Schizosaccharomyces pombe: one gene and its partners. Changing the gene in region 2 together with the main gene of any one other region gives a genetic interaction. Each region holds a gene or a part of one and is shown on either strand. Other genes may lie near its edges. The genes, in order: idp1, SPOM_SPBC8D2.16C, sod2 and SPOM_SPAC7D4.12C.

Region 1 (4,158 bases), on a different chromosome or scaffold from region 2:
TGAATCTGATTTCGTTCATATTGTTCCGGTTAGCCCAAGTATTCCTGAATGGACGTTTCAGCCCACTCCTCAGCAAAATGAGCTACCTTCCTTCAAGAGATTTTTTGAGCTTTTTAATAACTTTGAAATTCGCACGACTCCTGACGCTTCCGACGTTGCAGCCAGCATATTTCGTGATATAAGTGTGGATGTTATAAACCATTTGGAATTTAACCGAGTTGAGGCTGCTCAAGTTCTTACAGATTTAGATGTTTATTTTACCTACAAAACTTTTGCTCTTCGTGGTACTCCAGTAAATGAATTACCAAATTTAGATCCATCGGAATCACGTTGGAAAGCAGAAGATATCATAGTTGAAGCTGTTTTGGGTGAGCTTCTTGGTTCACAGAATACTACGTATAAACCTGTCTATTATCATTCGCTTTTGATTGAATGCTGCCGTATCGCTCCTAAAATTTTGGCTCCAACTTTTGGAAGGGTCATTCGGCTAATGTATACCATGTCTTCTGATTTACCTTTACAAACACTTGATCGATTTATTGACTGGTTTTCACATCACCTTAGTAATTTCAACTTTCACTGGAAGTGGAATGAGTGGATTCCTGACGTTGAGCTGGACGATCTTCATCCAAAAAAAGTTTTTATGCGGGAAACTATTACTAGGGAACTTATTTTAAGCTATTACACAAGAATTTCTGACTCACTCCCTGAAGAGTTACGTTGTTTGCTTGGCGAACAACCGTCGGGTCCCAATTTCGTGTACGAAAATGAGACTCATCCGCTATATCAACAGTCAAGTCAAATTATCGAAGCATTGAGATTACATAAACCGTTAGAAGAACTTGACATTATTTTGCAGAGCGAGGAGATTCAAAACTCCGAGACATCTGCTGTCCGATTAGTTATGTCTTGTGCTTATAGCTTGGGTTCGAGATCGTTTTCGCACGCATTGAACGTGTTCGAGAAACATCTTAATACATTGAAACATTTTTCTCGAAAATCATTAGATTCCGAAATAGAGGTTGTTGATGAACTTTTTTCATTTTGGAAATTACAACCGTTCAACGCAGTTATGTGGCTAGATAAAATGCTGAACTACTCTATAATTAGTATTACCTCTATTATTGAGTGGTTGATCAAGCAAGACGTGACTATATGGTCTCGTAGTTATACGTGGTCACTTGTTAACACCACTTTTAATAAATTAGCAGCTAGATTGCGGCGTTCGGTTTCTAACAAAGAAGACTCTTCGCTAATCAATGAAGCGAATGAGGAAAAGGAAATTGTCACGAATTTACTATTGTCAGCTTTGCGCGCCCTTATTTCCGAAAATGCTGAAAATATATGGGTATCTCATTGGCTTAACCTTATGTTAAAATATGTGGAATCAAATTTCCTCTCTGTTAAAAAGGACACGATAGAAGAAGCAAACGAGCCTGTTCAAGAAAATACCAGTGAGGAACAGGAAGACACAAAAATGCAACCCGTCGACGCAGTAGATGAGCAGCCATCAGAAAATAATCAAACAGCAGCTGATGCAACTAATGAGGAAAAATAAAGAAAGTAGTCTATAACAAAAATGAAGAAAGTGTTGTTTTGATATCAAAAAGATTAAACTGAAGAACTCGACTGGTAATCACGACGTTGTCAATCTGCTACAACGTTTGAACGTGGATATAGCTTATATTAAATATTTAATTATAACGTCCCATTTTCATAAGCACTTGTAGGACGCTGCTGCACTTCACAGTTAAGTTACTAGAAACGAAGATTTCAATTTTATAGGTAACAGGGTTATCAGATCTATCAGAGGTAACGGATATCTAAAGATAAGATATTTTACGATCGACTTGTCGGTTCTAGTTTTGCGTAGTGTCATACTATGTGAGCGAATGGATAAGCGAAATGTTCACTCACATCTCCGATATCAGAAGTGACTAAATCTTTTCTCAGTTTAACGAAAGGATTGCTAAAATGTAACAAAATCACTACTGCCATCAGTAACTTACACTTAACCAACCACTTTGTGCTATTGTAAGAAGTAGTGAGGAACAGAGGCAGTTTGGTGGATAGAACTAGGATTTAAGGGACATTTGCACAGCTACTCCTTCTCAACTTAGCTTCGTCGAATATTTCATTTACTTTAAAGGATAAAAAAACTGACACAATATGTTGGAAGTACGTGCTGCCGTAAAGGCACCTTTCAAGTTGGCTGCCGCAGGCCGTGGTTTCATGAATATGCGTATGGCTTCAAGCAAATCTTTTCAAAAGATCACTGTTAAAAACCCAGTCGTTGAAATGGATGGTGATGAGATGACGAGAGTGATTTGGAAGATCATTCGTGAAAAGTTGGTTCTCCCATATATGGACATTAAATTGGATTATTATGACCTTGGAATCGAAGCTCGCGATAAGACAAACGACCAAATTACTGTGGATGCAGCCAAAGCTATCCTCAAAAATGATGTCGGTATCAAATGTGCCACCATTACTCCTGATGAGGCTCGTGTGAAAGAGTATAACCTCAAGAAGATGTGGAAGTCTCCCAATGGTACCATTCGTAACATTTTGAATGGTACAGTATTTCGGGAGCCCATTTTAATCAAAAACATTCCCAAGTATATTCCTGGATGGACGAACCCTATTTGTATCGGGCGTCATGCCTTTGGAGATCAATACAAGTCAACGGACTTGGTAGCTTCAGGCCCCGGTAAGTTGGAACTTTCATTCACCCCTAAAGGTAATCCTTCTGCTAAAGAAACATACAATGTTTACGAGTTCAACGGTAGTGGTGTAGCTATGTCTATGTACAACACTGACGACTCTATTCGTGGATTTGCTCACAGTTCTTTCCAAATGGCTTTGCAAAAGAAAATGCCACTTTATCTTTCCACTAAGAATACAATTTTGAAAAAATATGATGGTAGATTTAAGGATACATTCCAAGAAGTATATGAATCTGATTACAAGCAAAAGTTTGAGGAACTAGGTTTATGGTATCAACATCGTCTAATTGATGACATGGTAGCCCAAGCTATTAAGTCCAATGGTGGTTTTGTTTGGGCATGCAAAAATTACGATGGTGATGTTATGTCGGATGTGGTTGCCCAAGCTTATGGATCCTTAGGCCTAATGACTTCTGTCCTCATTCATCCCAACGGTCGCACTTTTGAGAGTGAGGCTGCTCATGGTACTGTACAGCGTCACTACATGCAATACTTGAAAGGTAAGAAGACTTCAACCAACAGTATTGCCTCTATCTTTGCCTGGACTCGTGGTCTTGCCCATCGTGGTCGTTTAGATGGCAACGAACGTTTAGTTAAGTTTGCCAACGCCCTCGAGCATGCTTGTGTTCGATGCGTTGAGAAGGGTATTATGACAAAGGATCTTTACCTTCTCAGCAAGTCTCCCAATGGTTATGTTGATACATTCGAGTTTTTGGATGCCGTCAAGTCCGAGCTCGATTCGGAATTGGTCAACATTGCCTAATTTTAGTGTTAGACCTGTTGATTAGTGAGTCTTTGAAGTTTAAGTTCTGGATTATTCAATCATGTTTTTACTAGGATACTTTTTGTTAAAACAATTATTTTGAAGTGTGTGCATTTATATTATTTTACAATTAACAGTGGAGTGTAGGAAGTCATTTCTATTAATCATGAAATTTTGTAAATTTTTTATGCATATTCAGACCATGACACTATTATCTAATTTTTTTCAATTTTTTCCCCTTAAACGTAAAGGAAAAAGCTGAATGATTATTCATTTATTCATTGAAATCTTTCGGATTTCTTGCCGTTTATTGACTACAAATGTATCTTGATTCTTTAAAGCTTTGCTTCAAACCCACTTAAACATATTTATCTAGCAATTGATTGAGCCATAACAATTTAGGTAAAGGTCTAATATTAAAATTCAACAACTGAGCTAATAAACTAAACAATTGATGGACGTAAACCCCAACTACATTAAATGTATATCACTATGGAAATGCTTTCTATTATGTTCGAATACAATGAAGTTGTAACAAATATCATTTTAAAAACTGCTACTACTTAATTACTTGTAATTTCTGTTAAACTGATAAATAAAGTAAGCCTTTGTTCTTAGCTCCAAATGTTTTACGCAGCCAAATCTTACGCGCTGCAGTGTGGCTGTGAG
Region 2 (4,781 bases):
CACCATACCTCGCTTGAATATCGCGGGCTTTCTTGTGGACTAGGGTATAGCCATGACGCAAGGCATACTCTGTACGATCAGAAAGCACTTTATCCAGGAAGACAGAGCTGGAGTCAGATCTACTTGAATCATAATGGTCGTCAAAACTAACAATCAACATGACTACGGAATCAGGATCTTGTGGAGATGTTTTCGCCTTAGAAACACCTTTGTATGAAGAGGAATGGGCACTGGGAGAACCAATCGAATTGGAATAAACAGGCATTGAAGACTTTAAAGAATAAAAGCCAAAAAGCAATAAAACGATGGCCAAGAGACCTAAACTTTTTCCTCTACGAGAAAATAAACGAAAGTTGAACATCTTGCAGAATACAAAGTAAAAAAGTGCAAAACAAACAGTTTGCGAGAAAAAATGAGTTGGTTATGCGCGTCTATGGAACAAGATAACGGTTTAAAAGAATAAACCTTAGGGGTTTTTTAAATGTGCAAATAATGTAGAAAAGAAGGTAAGAGAATATCTGTAAATCGAGAAGGTATAAATAGAGAAGAGAAAAAAAGGTATAAAGATCTGGGTCGTAAAGAAAATGGAATATATATGGCCCTTTTTTAAATGCAAATAAATGATCCAACGATATATACGCGAGTATATCCGAAAATTAAAACAGTAAAGATGTTACAGAGGGCGTTTTCACTAAGAAATACGAAAAACCGGATAATGAAAGAAACCTTGCGAGAACACAACGCCTAGCTTTCAAAATGAGCCTTTTTGTCAAGCTATATCGGCGATATTTAAAAAAGAGGAAGATTCTACAATTTAAACAACAATAGATTATAGCTTATCCTGACAACAATCCTTTTACACCGTTTCAAAGACTACGAGTCAAGATGGACTGGTTATTGATATTGAATATGATTTTTACAGAAATCAGGATCCACCCAACCACGTACTAAGAGCAGAGAAACGTTGCTTTTATAATTGGCAGCAACTTGGCTGTATTTGTAGTCTGCGTGTTCGACATTCGAAGGATTTTGATTAACGTGTACGATGCATCCTACCTAACGTACTCTAACGTGTTTTTAGATTTTTTTAGTGATATTGAAATTATACTTTAAACTGTTATAGCGTTATACCCGGTGCTACTCATTATATAGCGAAAATCATAAAAGTAAATAGTAAATAGAGTAAGATTGAAGATGAATTGAATCAGAGTCGATGAACTTCTATTGACTTAAAAAATTATGTATGTAATTAATAAAATATCATCTTGTTTTTTCTACTAACAAATTTTTACAGCGGTTATATACAAGCTTCGGCGTGTATAGTTGGTTTATATAAATTGCAAGCAAAGTGTACACCATTTTTTTTATTATTTCCATATAAAGAAAAAAAAAAAAAAAAAAAAAGGGGATTCTATAGCCCTTTGGTATTTACGAAGACTCATTGATAGTTTAAATCGCACTCATTGAATGGCATTAAACACATTTGTTTGTTTGAATTTTTTTCATTGTTTATGAAGTACAGGATTTTTTTTTTTACCTATCAATAAAAGTATTGATATAAAATATCCCTTTACCTTGATCAATACTTCAAAAAAAATTTAAAATTAGTTTAATTATATTAAATGGACGGTTTTTAGCCTGGTAAATGAAATTCATGCCTTTACTCTTCACCAACTTTTTAAGACGTTAAAATTTTTATAAAAAGCCAAATCCTAATATTCTGTTTCCCAAGACAGCAAAAAGTAAATAAAATACTGCTACTTGGGCCATATTATTACTTCTCATTAATTGCTTACAGAAACTGCTATGGAAAAAGAAAGCGAAATACAAAGCTTACCACCAACGAGACGATATACGATATCTTTAGCATTACCTATTTCAAGTCTAAATGTAGCATACAATTTGCAGCTTAAAACGAGTTTTGTCTGGAAGGTTTGAAAGATTCGTTGTTGTCGCGTATTAACTCAAAATATAGATTTCGAGAATAGTTTCTCTATATGGTATTGACGAAATTATTTTGCTAGAGGACCCTGAATATGTGCAAAACACCCAGGTACATACACTTTCCTCTGATGCTTATTTAAAGGATCCCACAAAATTTCTCACGGACTTATTATGCTATTTCGAAACGCCTTTCTTTATGAGGAAGGAATTGTTTCCACTAAATCCACATCTAAAATATACTAGCTGCTTTCCATTACTTCCCCTCAGAAATGACAAGGCTAGCACAGTGAATATTGAATTCCCATACCGAGAGGGAATCGTTACTCATCCATCTCCGCAAGCAAAGAATAAATATATTATAAATGCTGGACTATCTCACAATGTAATCGTTTCCAGCCCCAGCGTCCTTGCTCCTAGAACAAGGGTCACGGTTCGATTAAAAGCGCAGTCTCCAAACGAAGAAGGCCAGCTTCAAGGTGATATCGTGTCTTTTTCAGCTCCACGAGAAAAAGGTGGTCATTATTGGGGTTACAAGGTGCGGTCATGTCTTTCTTCTCAGCTGTGTAAAAGTTCTCCTTACAAAGGTGGATATGACTTTGTTGTTCAAATCAACAGTCAGACTTCAGCTATTACTTCAAAAGAGTTAGAAGCGAGTTTACCAAGTTCGTTTCGGCATGCTGTTCTTGTTTTACAAGACAATGTCGTACAAAAAGAGCTCGTAGACTCCACTGCCAAAAGTATTTCTTTTAACCCATTCCCAGTTTCTTTTCTAAATGATCCCATTCCTGAAGAGATACTTTTGGCGGCCATGACCCGTTTGTCAGATATGTTGCTGATGCATGGACGACGATAAAGCCTAAATACTTACAAAGGTGAAGCTGTCTTTTTCTTACTTAAATATTATAAAGCTGTCTCGCTAATCAAGGAAAACAAAATCAATTTTGAATATGATAAATTATAAGGATAACTTGGGTATAAAGACGATATTAGAAACTAAGACGAGAATTATTATGATTAAAATTATATCTAAGAGTGTATTGTTGAAATAAAGAATAAAAAAATTTAAAAGATGATTCGAGTCAATGCAAAAAAGGGTAATTCTGTTGAAGACAAACTCCTATCGAGTGTACCTAGATAAGCAGCCATGTTTAAACACTCATAGAAGCAGGGTTTCCTGATCTCTTTTTAATAAGATTCTCCATAAAATATTCGCCAGCCTTATAGCTACTACGAACAAGTGGACCACTAGCCACGTATAAGAATCCTAATTTCTCTGCCACTTCTTTCCAATATTCAAACTTCTTAGGATGTACATACTCTTGCACTTTTAGGTGTCGTTTGGTAGGTCTCATATATTGACCAAAGGTAACGACATCTACATTATGTTCCAGGAGATCCTTAAGAGTTGTTAGAATTTCCGCATCGGTTTCACCTAGACCAAGCATAATACTGGTTTTAGTGATAAGGTGAGGACATGTTTTCTTCACATGTTTTAGCACGCTCAGACTTTGTCGATATGTGGCTCGTCGATCTCGAACAAATGGGGTAAGTTCCTCTACCGTTTCTACATTGTGTGCAAAGACGTCCAAACCAGATTTAGCTACAATCTCAACCAAATCCATTCTTCCACTAAAATCGGGGGTCAAAGCTTCTACCAAGATGTGCGGGGCTTTTTCTTTAATTTTTTGAATCGTTTTTGCTATATGATTGGCACCAAGGTCAGTCAGGTCATCTCTATCGACACTAGTGAGAACAATGTACCCAAGGTTCCATTGTTTGATGGCTTCTGCTGTATTTTCAGGCTCGTTGGGATCTAAAGGACCTGGACGGCGACTGGTCTTTACCGAACAAAAGCGACATCCACGAGTACAAGTATCACCCATAAGCATGATCGTAGCTGTGGCACGAGATTTGTCTTTACCTCCCCAGCATTCTCCAATATTCGGACATTTCGCTTCTTCACAAACCGTATGGAGATGAGATCCCCGCAAATCATGCTTTATTCGGTTAAAATTTGTTCCTAGTGGAACTTTGGTTTTAAGCCATGAAGGCAATCTTTTGTGTATAGAGCCATTTGGTAGCTCTACTTTTCTATCTAACTCGAAAGCTTCGTCAGCAGTCAATGGTTTATCCATGTTCAAGAAATCTGCAAATGATGGTCCTTTCGCCAACTTTTCTGAAAACCCTCCAGATTGAAACCTCACGGAGGCAAACTATGCTATATTAATAAAACTATAAATAAAAGAAAACTCACCCAAAAATTGTTTTTTAATATCGTAGCATTTCGACCTATTTTCAACATTGCTGTGTAGAGGAAGTAAGGACTATTAGACAGTATGGGATTGGATATAAAGTACTAACCTTACTACTACCTATTATCCGTGTTAGCCCATCAATAGAAAACAGATGTTTTAAACGTTATTTTACCTATTAAACAGTCTCCTTCATAATTCGAAGTTTCGTTTTTTTTGTTGAATACGACTCAGTTTGTGGACAATTGTAAGAAAATTCAAAACATTAAACCAAGCTGTTTACCATAGTTTTGGACACTAATCAGCCAAACTACAAGCGTAAAGTAAAGATATAATTGAATATTTTTTTCAAATAAACTCTCAAAATTTTGTGGTCTCACGTACTATGGTAAATTTCTCGTCATAGGGATTCTCCTATTTTTTGAGTGATTTTCAAAACTTTAGCTTCCTATTATGAATATGTATAGTATGTTTCTGCAAGGTCACTTTGATTTCGACTTCGATTTACTCATTTATGAAAGCCCTGTAAAAACAGGCCTAGACAGATTTTCTATGTAACCTTTTAATTTTAGAGACACATATGAG
Region 3 (3,707 bases), on a different chromosome or scaffold from region 2:
TAAATTATATTTTGACACATAGAAATTAAAAAAAAATTTAATAGTAAATCTGCGAAGCTTTATAATTTATTGTCACAACGTGTTTTTACAATTACCTTTTTAGCAAAGGCTCTAAAAAATCAGGAAAGTACTTTTATATTATTTCATTATGTTTCTGTACAAAACAAAAGTATTATGATCCGAGAAATACTAATTTGTAGTAGGTAAACAAAGAGCATTATACTGAATAATAGAATACGAAGCTTGGACAGAGAACAGTTATTAATACTATCCATAATTTTTTAATTTCCCTGTTTTCCTAGTTTGTAGATTTGTTAGCGAGTAATATTTCATGCTTAAAATAAGTTGATTAAGAATCTGATTCGGGTCTACAGTTTGAAAAAGACAGTATATCTTTTCAGAATGATTATGACGATATAGTTTTATCGAGTTTGTGGAAATTACTGTTGAAATAATTAAAGATGTATGAATTAATTAATTACTTAACCAAAGGACGGTATGTAAATCTAAAAACAATGTTTGGGGTTTCAAAACACTTGCTTATTTATTATAAGAAAATGCTGAGATTCAAAAATTTTTAGTAAGAAGAAAAGGACTACATTAATTGCGGTTTGCAACTGTTTTGTCATATGGTAACTTAGTAAATTTTTTTGTTTTTGATGAAAAGGTAAATAAATACCCATCATCGCACCTACTAACCTACATACTCCATTGTAATTGAATAGCTCTTTAAAAATGAATAATTTCAATGACAGCATTTGAACTTCCTAACGATTACATTGTTTAATGCATCAATATCGTTAATCAATAATCATTGATATTTGCCAATTGATTAGGAAAGAACAAATTATTTTATGCAATCATGATCTTTATTCCTTAAAAAAAAAAAAAAAAAAAAATTGGGAAATACACATTGTAGCTATACTTGCTAGAACGCGAATTATACTTTGAGTTACACTTTGTCTCACCCAAAATAAAGAAAAAGAAAAAGAAGTTTCATGCACCATTAATAAAAAAAAACACGATAAAAATTACACAAAAAATTTATACAAGCAATTAACCTAAAAAATAAAAAAACACAATATAAAATACATGAAAAAAATATATGTATAATTAACTACTAAAATTAGCCGATGCTTATTTCTGGTTCAAAAAGCGAATTGCGTAACTCATGAATATCAATCAATTTTTGTATAGAAAGTTGAAAATATTAAACTTCAAGTACAGTTTTATTAACTGTACAAATATTTGCCGAGTTACTTCCTCGTTATTACCGCTTCGCTGCACTACTTATCTATTTTGCAAAGGCAATTCCTTCAACTCTGATTTCGATACCCTTTAACTAGTAGAGCCGCTGTTTCTTTTTTCATTGTGTGCTTATAAGGGTAATTTGTTGCAGGACGGATTTTTCAATTGCATCAATACTCAATCGCATCAGAAGTCAATTTGAAAAAATAAAATATTTACAATGTACTAATCACACTACTAGTTGCACTCGCCGAATTCTTGATTCGGTATTGTAAAATCATTTCTAACAATTCAATGTAAAGAAGTTGCCCTTTTAAACTTCAGTAACATTTGTTGAGTTGTCATTTCTATAAGTTCAAGTACCATTAATTGCTTGCACTTAACAAAACCTTCCAAAATTTTTTGCTTGATAATAATGTCGTAGTAAATATTATTACATTGCTATAATCTAGTAACCTAGAGTAATGAAGATTGCTAAATGAATGCAGAGAATTTTGAGAAGTTGGTGAAATGAAGATACGTTGAACTTCACATTCTACTCTATAAAACTAGTTCTTAATGGTTCATTAACAAGTTGCACAATTTGTTGTTTACCACATTTTTGGTGTAATATTTCGGAAATGACTTTCTCCAGACATTTCATAGGCCAGACGTAATTTCGAGAATTTATATAGGCTCCTTTCACCCTACTCCATACTTTCCCTCTACCATATACGATTTGTTCAATCAAACCGTACAATTTAGTTATAAGTTAAGGTATTTAACAAAGAAAACATTTCGGTTTACTTTGTTCGTTGGTCACTTTGGTTGCTATTACTTTTTTACTTTTGATCTCATTTTAACGATGCTTCGCTTTTTGTCTAAGAACTCTGTAGCCGCTATTAGGAACGTCTCAATTGCCAGGGGAGTTCATACTAAGGCTACTCTTCCCCCTTTACCTTATGCTTACAATGTATGCAATAAATAGTTGTAAAAGCAATTGCTCATGTTGATGGGTTCTGAAGCAATCATAAGTTTTGGATGTTTCCCACTGTCTAGTTAATTTGTTAATGATGATTACTAACTATAGCTTTAGGCACTTGAACCTGCTTTGTCGGAAACGATTATGAAGTTACATCATGACAAGCATCACCAAACATATGTTAACAACTTGAATGCCGCTCAGGAGAAGCTGGCCGATCCCAACCTCGATTTGGAGGGAGAGGTTGCCCTTCAAGCTGCTATTAAATTCAATGGCGGTGGTCACATCAATCATTCTCTCTTTTGGAAGATTTTAGCACCTCAAAAGGAAGGTGGTGGCAAACCCGTCACCTCTGGATCTTTACATAAGGCTATAACCTCTAAATGGGGTTCTTTGGAGGATTTCCAGAAGGAAATGAATGCCGCCTTAGCTAGCATCCAAGGTAGTGGTTGGGCATGGCTAATCGTGGATAAAGACGGTAGTCTCCGTATTACTACTACTGCTAACCAAGACACGATTGTCAAGTCCAAGCCCATTATTGGAATTGATGCTTGGGAACATGCCTACTATCCTCAATACGAGAATCGTAAGGCCGAATACTTTAAAGCTATTTGGAATGTGATTAATTGGAAAGAGGCCGAGTCTCGTTATTCCAACCGTTAAGTCCTTAAACATGTTATGCTCGATTACGAAAACACCCTGCTCATCTATCTATCCAGCTAACAAAGTATCAATTACCAGGAAAGTGTGATGTTTTGTTATTTTATTTTTGTGTTTCTTTTTGGCAGTAGCTTTGAATTTTCAAATTCATAGATTTGATAAGTTTCTAGTCTACTACCTTTGATCAATGAATGAACTAAATTTTACATTGAAATTTCCTGAAATAAAGCTATTAGACAATACCAAATTTTTTCGTTAACGATTACTACAGATCCATATTTACGAATAAAGTAAAAAATAAAAGACTAGAAACCTTCACCACTCACAGGTTTGCGCAATCATTGACAGTAAACAATTAGCTTATGATAAATGGGACAAAACAATTGCTATGTAGGAAATGTAAATAATTCATGGTAAGAAATGATGTTCAAAATTAGCAAAATTTTAAACAGGAAAGAACGAAGATAAGAAATGTGTTGTTTTGTGATCGCTTGATTAAAGAACAGTTTAATAGTCGGCTGTTTGCTCCAATAACAATTCTACAGCTCTCTGCACATCGTTAGTTTGAGATAAGGCCTGGATAGCTTGAGCTCTAGAAGTTTGCATAATCGTTTGGACAGTGTTTATATCCTCTTCTCTAATATTTCCTAATTCAGGACGTTCTGATCGGCCGCTTAACATATCGTACAACTGAGAAGCCGGTCCTGTTGGGAGAACAGAAGATGACGAGGTTCGACCAAGGGGAGGATGTGATATTTGCTGACGATTACGGAACGATGCTGCAGTATTGGATGAAGAAGCGATAGCTGTTGCTCGAGCGTTCTGTCGAGTCGGAGAA
Region 4 (5,207 bases), on a different chromosome or scaffold from region 2:
TTCAGTTAACATTTTCAAATTCATTTATACATAAATACTTTTTTAGATGATTAATAAGAGGCGTTTCATAAATAGTATAAGTACTTTGTAAGCCTATTCTAATGGATGTGAATAAACAAAGAGACTATGGATTATGTGAATAGTTATATTACTTTCTTATTCGATAATCAAATTTTAAAGCTCCCAAATGCAAGATTATTGAAGAAATTTTGAAAAAGTTTCTTTAGTTAACATTAGCATGTAAAAGACACATAAACCCTAATTGACTGTAACATAAGAGACCTTTTACTTACGTCTACAGCGATTATTCTACTGGACTTAATAAAAGCAAAATTCGGACGGTCGAAACAACTCATTTAGACGTATGAGTCTATTTATTGTAGGTTAGCTTTTTGAATGAATATTACATATCATTATTTTTCTCTTTCTTTCTCTAACTACTAAAACCTAGGGTACTCATAACATCAAAAACTCAGCAATACAACTTTTAAAGACGAAACTGAAAAATGAATTTTTAAAGGGCGTTAAATGTATTACTAAATATCCCGAAAATGCACATAGCATTTTTAAAGTTCAAGAATATACTGGATACAAGGGAGTGACCTTTATAGTATCTACCAAATGGAATCTAACTGTCGACTCAATTCATAAACTAATTCCTGAAATTAAAAGCTCTCCGAGTGCATGTTTACTTTTAGTAAACCAACCATACCCAGTTATCGAAAAAATAACTGATATTCTTACAAAACATGGGATCACGAATGCAAATCTTTTGGAATTTTCAAAATCGTCTTTGTTGCATCCTTTTAAAAGGAATAGACACCTTCTTTCATTCGTGCCTTATCCTATGACTGCTGAGACATTAGGAGACATCTCGTGGTCATTTTCTCGAAGAGAAAATATGAAATTTGAAAAGGACCAGCAGTATATCTTATCAAAATTTAAAAGTCCACGAAATTTATTGATTCCTTACCCCTCTTTCCTAATTCAAAAGTTCTTGGATATGGCAATCCTTCCTCCTATGGCAGCTTTAAGGATTTTGTTTTATCAGTATTCTAAAGCTAGCACGATGAGCCTTACAGATGACTTTTACAATAAGTATGTGCTGGAGAATTTGAATATAATAAACAATTTACAGATTTTTCTTCATCTTGACTTAGAACCTTTACATATCAAAAGTCTTGCTAAAGCAAGAAAAAGATTTTATGAAACTGACTTGAAAACAACATTTTTAAATGCATTTTCCAGAGACGAGTTGTTGATGTTGGTTAATTATTTTATTTTTCGGGGCACCGAGTTAAAACTTTCTGTTTCCATGAATCTCGCTTTTCGTGACATTCTATTATCATCGGCTTATTTGAATAAAACCAAATAATACTAACGAAAATTACTGGCTTAATGCTGCTTATAATCTTTTTATATAGTATTTTATTTCACGGTCTGAGATTCGTGGCATGAATGCTATAATGCTAGTAACTACCGATGATTATTCATTAAATAAATGACTGTATCCTGTAGAAACAGGATATTATGTTGACAGAGTTTAATGGTCATTTGTAAAAACTAATTAAAGTAATAAGTAAATACATTTTTAATATAGATAAGTGGCAGAATAAAGTGAGGGAAGCTTTGTCGTTTAAGTTGTATATTTTTTTTTAAAGCTGGGCAGTAAATATATTTCATATTTAATGAATTTGCGTCGCCGCCGACAGCATCAGAAACCATCAATTTTTTATTATACGGCCGGAGAATTTTAAAAGAATAAATATAAAATACTGATTACTCCCTAAAGCTGGCTCTAGACACGAACGACATTAAGGCGAACCACGTGGAATTTTTGGTATAGAGGCGTAAAGTGTTCACTAACCACCTAGCATAAACCCACTTAGGAGTGTCAATTGAAAACTGTAGTGCTTCAACTAGTGAATTGCAATTGTTTTAAATTATTTTAAAACAATTGATCATATTTGTGATGATTCATTGAATGAAGTAAATTAGATTTTTTATGGGCGTGTGTTGATTGTTGCGATTAACATCAGCGACACGAATATCTTCAAATTTTATTATCATTTTAGAAAAGAAAAGTTATTTTTTAGAAAAATAAAAAACAATGGACGGAAATCGTAGAGTGCGTTTCAATACCGATAGACGACCTTACCTCTCTCCCTTACAAACATCTTTTCCGAGTTCCACTTCGTTTCAGACCCCTACATTTTTAATAGAAGAAGATGATGAAGATACAGAGGATGATGATGGACCACAGGTTCTTCCTGTTCATAGGGCGCCTTCTCCTGCTGCTTTTCGCAAAAGAGGCTCTATAACTTCCATGGATCAATATTTAGTAAACATGCCGGCTGTTCCAAGTCCTACCGCATCAAAAGTAGGCCTATTGGATGCTAGGAATACAGACGTTGAAAGCTATGCAGCTAGCTATAAAACCCAAAGTAGTTCAAATTCCGTCAATAGCTTACCAATGCGTAGGCCTACTCTGGATAGAAGCTACTCAGCACCTATGATCGCTGCTAAAAATTTACAGAGCGATCCGGAAAAAATGTCTAATGTCGAATCAACTAATGAACTACCCTCTACTACAACAGAAGCGTACAAGCTTGTTGCTGCTCACACGGCAGCTCGATTAGAGCATATGAGGCTAAACGCTTTGAAGGCCGCTAATGATGAAGGAGAAGATGTTAAAGATAACGAACAAGATGACAATATAGATGAATCTGATCCATTTGCTAATCCTAAGGCTTCTTATCGTGGCGGCGTATTGTCAAATTTGCTGAAGTTGTATACAAATTCTAATACAGTTACATCCAGTAGGATTTCTTTGAAGCACACTGATCCTACAAAATGGCAAAAACACGCTAAAAGGACTGCTTCTAGTAATTCACTTACAGACCTTTTGCACGCATCAAATCAGACTTTTATGGCGCCTGCTTCTGGCTTGCAGTCTACGGAGGAAATTCCTCAATTCTCTAAAACAGGTCATTCTCGTGGTAGAAAATTTAATTTTCACCATCACAGTAGGAAGAATTCTGGTTTGAACGAAGAATATAAAATCACTATTCATTTGGCTGACATTTTACAACGCCAAAAATATATTTTAAAACTATGCCGTGCTTTAATGGTATATGGTGCTCCTAGTCATCGTTTAGAAGAACATATGGCTTCTGCAGCAAAGGTTCTCGAAATAGAGGGACAATTTTTGTACATTCCTGGATGTATGATAGTGTCATTTGGTGATGTTAACACTCATACTTCTGATATGCACATTGTTCGTGTAAATCAAACAATTGATCTTGGGCGTTTGAAGTTGGTCCATGACATATATAAAGCTGTTTTGCACGACCGTATGGGTGTTGAGGAGGCAATTAGAGGTTTAGATGAAATTTTTAAATCTCCTCCTTATTTTAGAACTTGGATACTTGTTGTTTTTTATGGTTTTGCTAGTGCCACTATTCTGCCGATGTCTTTTCAAGGCGGATGGATTGATTTGCCTATTGCATTTATATTAGGTTGCCTCGTAGGGATTCTTCAGCACTATATCGCTCCTCGTTCAACCATGTATAATAGTCTTTTTGAGGTGACTGGCTCAATTATTACATCTTTTCTAAGTAGAGCTTTTGGTAGCATTCGGTATTCTGGTGGTCGTCGATTCTGTTTTTCTGCGCTTGCGGAGGGCGCGATTGTGTTAATTCTTCCAGGTTATATCGTACTTTGTGGTTCGCTGGAGCTACAAAGTAAAAATATTGTGGCAGGAGGAGTTCGAATGTTTTATGCCATCATTTATTCTTTATTTTTGAGTTTCGGTATATCAATTGGGGCAGCTCTTTATGGTTGGATGGATCATAATGCCACTGACTCAACTTCATGTCCGGTATCTACTCAAATGGATGATAAATGGAAAATTTTGTTTGTTCCCTTGTTTACTTTGTGTCTTTTAATTGTAAATCAGGCAAGGCCCTCTCAATGGCCTGTTTCGATTTTCATATCTTGTGCAGGCTATGTCGTTAATTATTTCACCGCCAAGCATTTCGGATCAAATCCGATTGCGAATGCAATTGGTTCTTTTGCGATTGGTTGTTTGGGTAATATATATTCACGTTTAGGTCGAGGAGTTGCGTTCGCTGCTGTATTGCCTGCTATATTTGTTCAAGTCCCCTCTGGTTTGGCTGCTCAAGGTGGTATTTCTTCTGGCATTGAAGTTGCTACTTCTTTAACGAACAATACTTACAACACCTCAAGTTCTTCTACTTTGGATGTTAATTCTTTAAAATTCGGTTTGGTTATGGTTCAAATTGCTATCGGAATTTCTGTTGGCCTATTTGCGTCTGCATTGGTAGTGTATCCTTTCGGAAAACGACGATCTGGCTTATTTAGTTTTTGACAATATTCGTTTTTCAATTTTTTCAAAAATTCACATTTTTATAAAGCTTCCTCTTTACTGGTTCTAGAAAATCCGGAATTTTTTTCTTTAAAAAATATCAAAATTTAAATCTATTTTGATCTTTATGGCTTAAGTTATGCCGTACTGAGACGTCGGATATTATTTATTAATCAACTTCACTTGATTTTTTATTATTTATTAGTATTTCCTAGCATATAGAGTATCATTTTCTCTGATTATTAAAAAAATTAATCAATTTATTACAAAGATTTAGCAGAGCTTATTGTAAAGATTATATAGAGCATGAGTACAACTTCTCGTAAATAATTCTGATATATAATTTATGCTGTATTCGTGATTTGCTGATGTTTTGAATAACTAGACTGCGTTTTGTATATTAAAAGACTTTATTGACGCCGCTTGAAAATATTAATATTTGTAGGAAAGCATAAAAAAATCATGAGTTTATTGAGATATGTAAATAACGGTAAAAACTTCCTAATGTATCTTAATAATTCCTACTAACAAGCTATTATTAAGTTCAATAATGCTAAACTAAAAATATCTTAGTTAAGGAAACTTGACCTACTATCACCTCATCCCATGGTAAGTAATGTTTACCCTGACTCTTACCTTCTTTCCAAGCTCATATTATGAATGAAGACAAATTGGAGTCCAAATGGTTATTTTCATTAACTGAATCACAAAAATTGTACCTTTTAATATCTCTAATAATTAATAAGAAATTACCTGAAGCTAAATTTGTTTACAAGTTACTGGATTACACTAAAGGCAATTGGCTTTCACTTTTACTTCG

What was found.
Region 1: mutations in SPOM_SPBC8D2.16C (region 2) and idp1 together harm fitness more than expected from each alone (negative genetic interaction), as found in Schizosaccharomyces pombe (one large-scale study listed by BioGRID).
Region 3: mutations in SPOM_SPBC8D2.16C (region 2) and sod2 together harm fitness more than expected from each alone (negative genetic interaction), as found in Schizosaccharomyces pombe (one large-scale study listed by BioGRID).
Region 4: mutations in SPOM_SPBC8D2.16C (region 2) and SPOM_SPAC7D4.12C together harm fitness less than expected from each alone (positive genetic interaction), as found in Schizosaccharomyces pombe (one large-scale study listed by BioGRID).

What each region holds. Positions count from the first base shown.
Region 1 is NC_003424.3:3,229,367-3,233,524, forward strand, and holds idp1 (isocitrate dehydrogenase Idp1), read left to right. Parts: upstream 1-2,013; 5' UTR 2,014-2,169; coding exon 2,170-3,489; 3' UTR 3,490-3,610; downstream 3,611-4,158. Other genes in the region: cbc1 (nuclear cap-binding complex large subunit), read left to right, coding at 1-1,558.
Region 2 is NC_003423.3:1,385,763-1,390,543, reverse strand, and holds SPOM_SPBC8D2.16C (uncharacterized protein), read left to right. Parts: upstream 1-1,662; 5' UTR 1,663-1,806; coding exon 1,807-1,932; exon of another isoform or gene 1,933-1,975; coding exon 1,976-2,797; 3' UTR 2,798-3,092; coding exon of another isoform or gene 3,093-4,157; 3' UTR 4,158-4,198; downstream 4,199-4,781. Other genes in the region: alpha-1,2-galactosyltransferase Gmh4, read right to left, coding at 1-361; lipoic acid synthetase Lip5, read right to left, coding at 3,093-4,157, 4,199-4,246.
Region 3 is NC_003424.3:3,183,378-3,187,084, forward strand, and holds sod2 (manganese superoxide dismutase), read left to right. Parts: upstream 1-1,954; 5' UTR 1,955-2,092; coding exon 2,093-2,200; exon of another isoform or gene 2,201-2,323; coding exon 2,324-2,872; 3' UTR 2,873-3,207; downstream 3,208-3,707. Other genes in the region: Golgi Dsc E3 ligase complex transmembrane subunit, C-terminal UBA domain Dsc2, read right to left, coding at 3,377-3,707. UniProt on the Schizosaccharomyces pombe protein: Destroys superoxide anion radicals which are normally produced within the cells and which are toxic to biological systems.
Region 4 is NC_003424.3:2,612,932-2,618,138, forward strand, and holds SPOM_SPAC7D4.12C (uncharacterized protein), read left to right. Parts: upstream 1-1,875; 5' UTR 1,876-2,110; coding exon 2,111-4,390; 3' UTR 4,391-4,664; downstream 4,665-5,207. Other genes in the region: SPOM_SPAC7D4.13C (uncharacterized protein), read left to right, coding at 365-379, 452-1,375; secretory pathway protein Sec39, read left to right, coding at 5,044-5,207.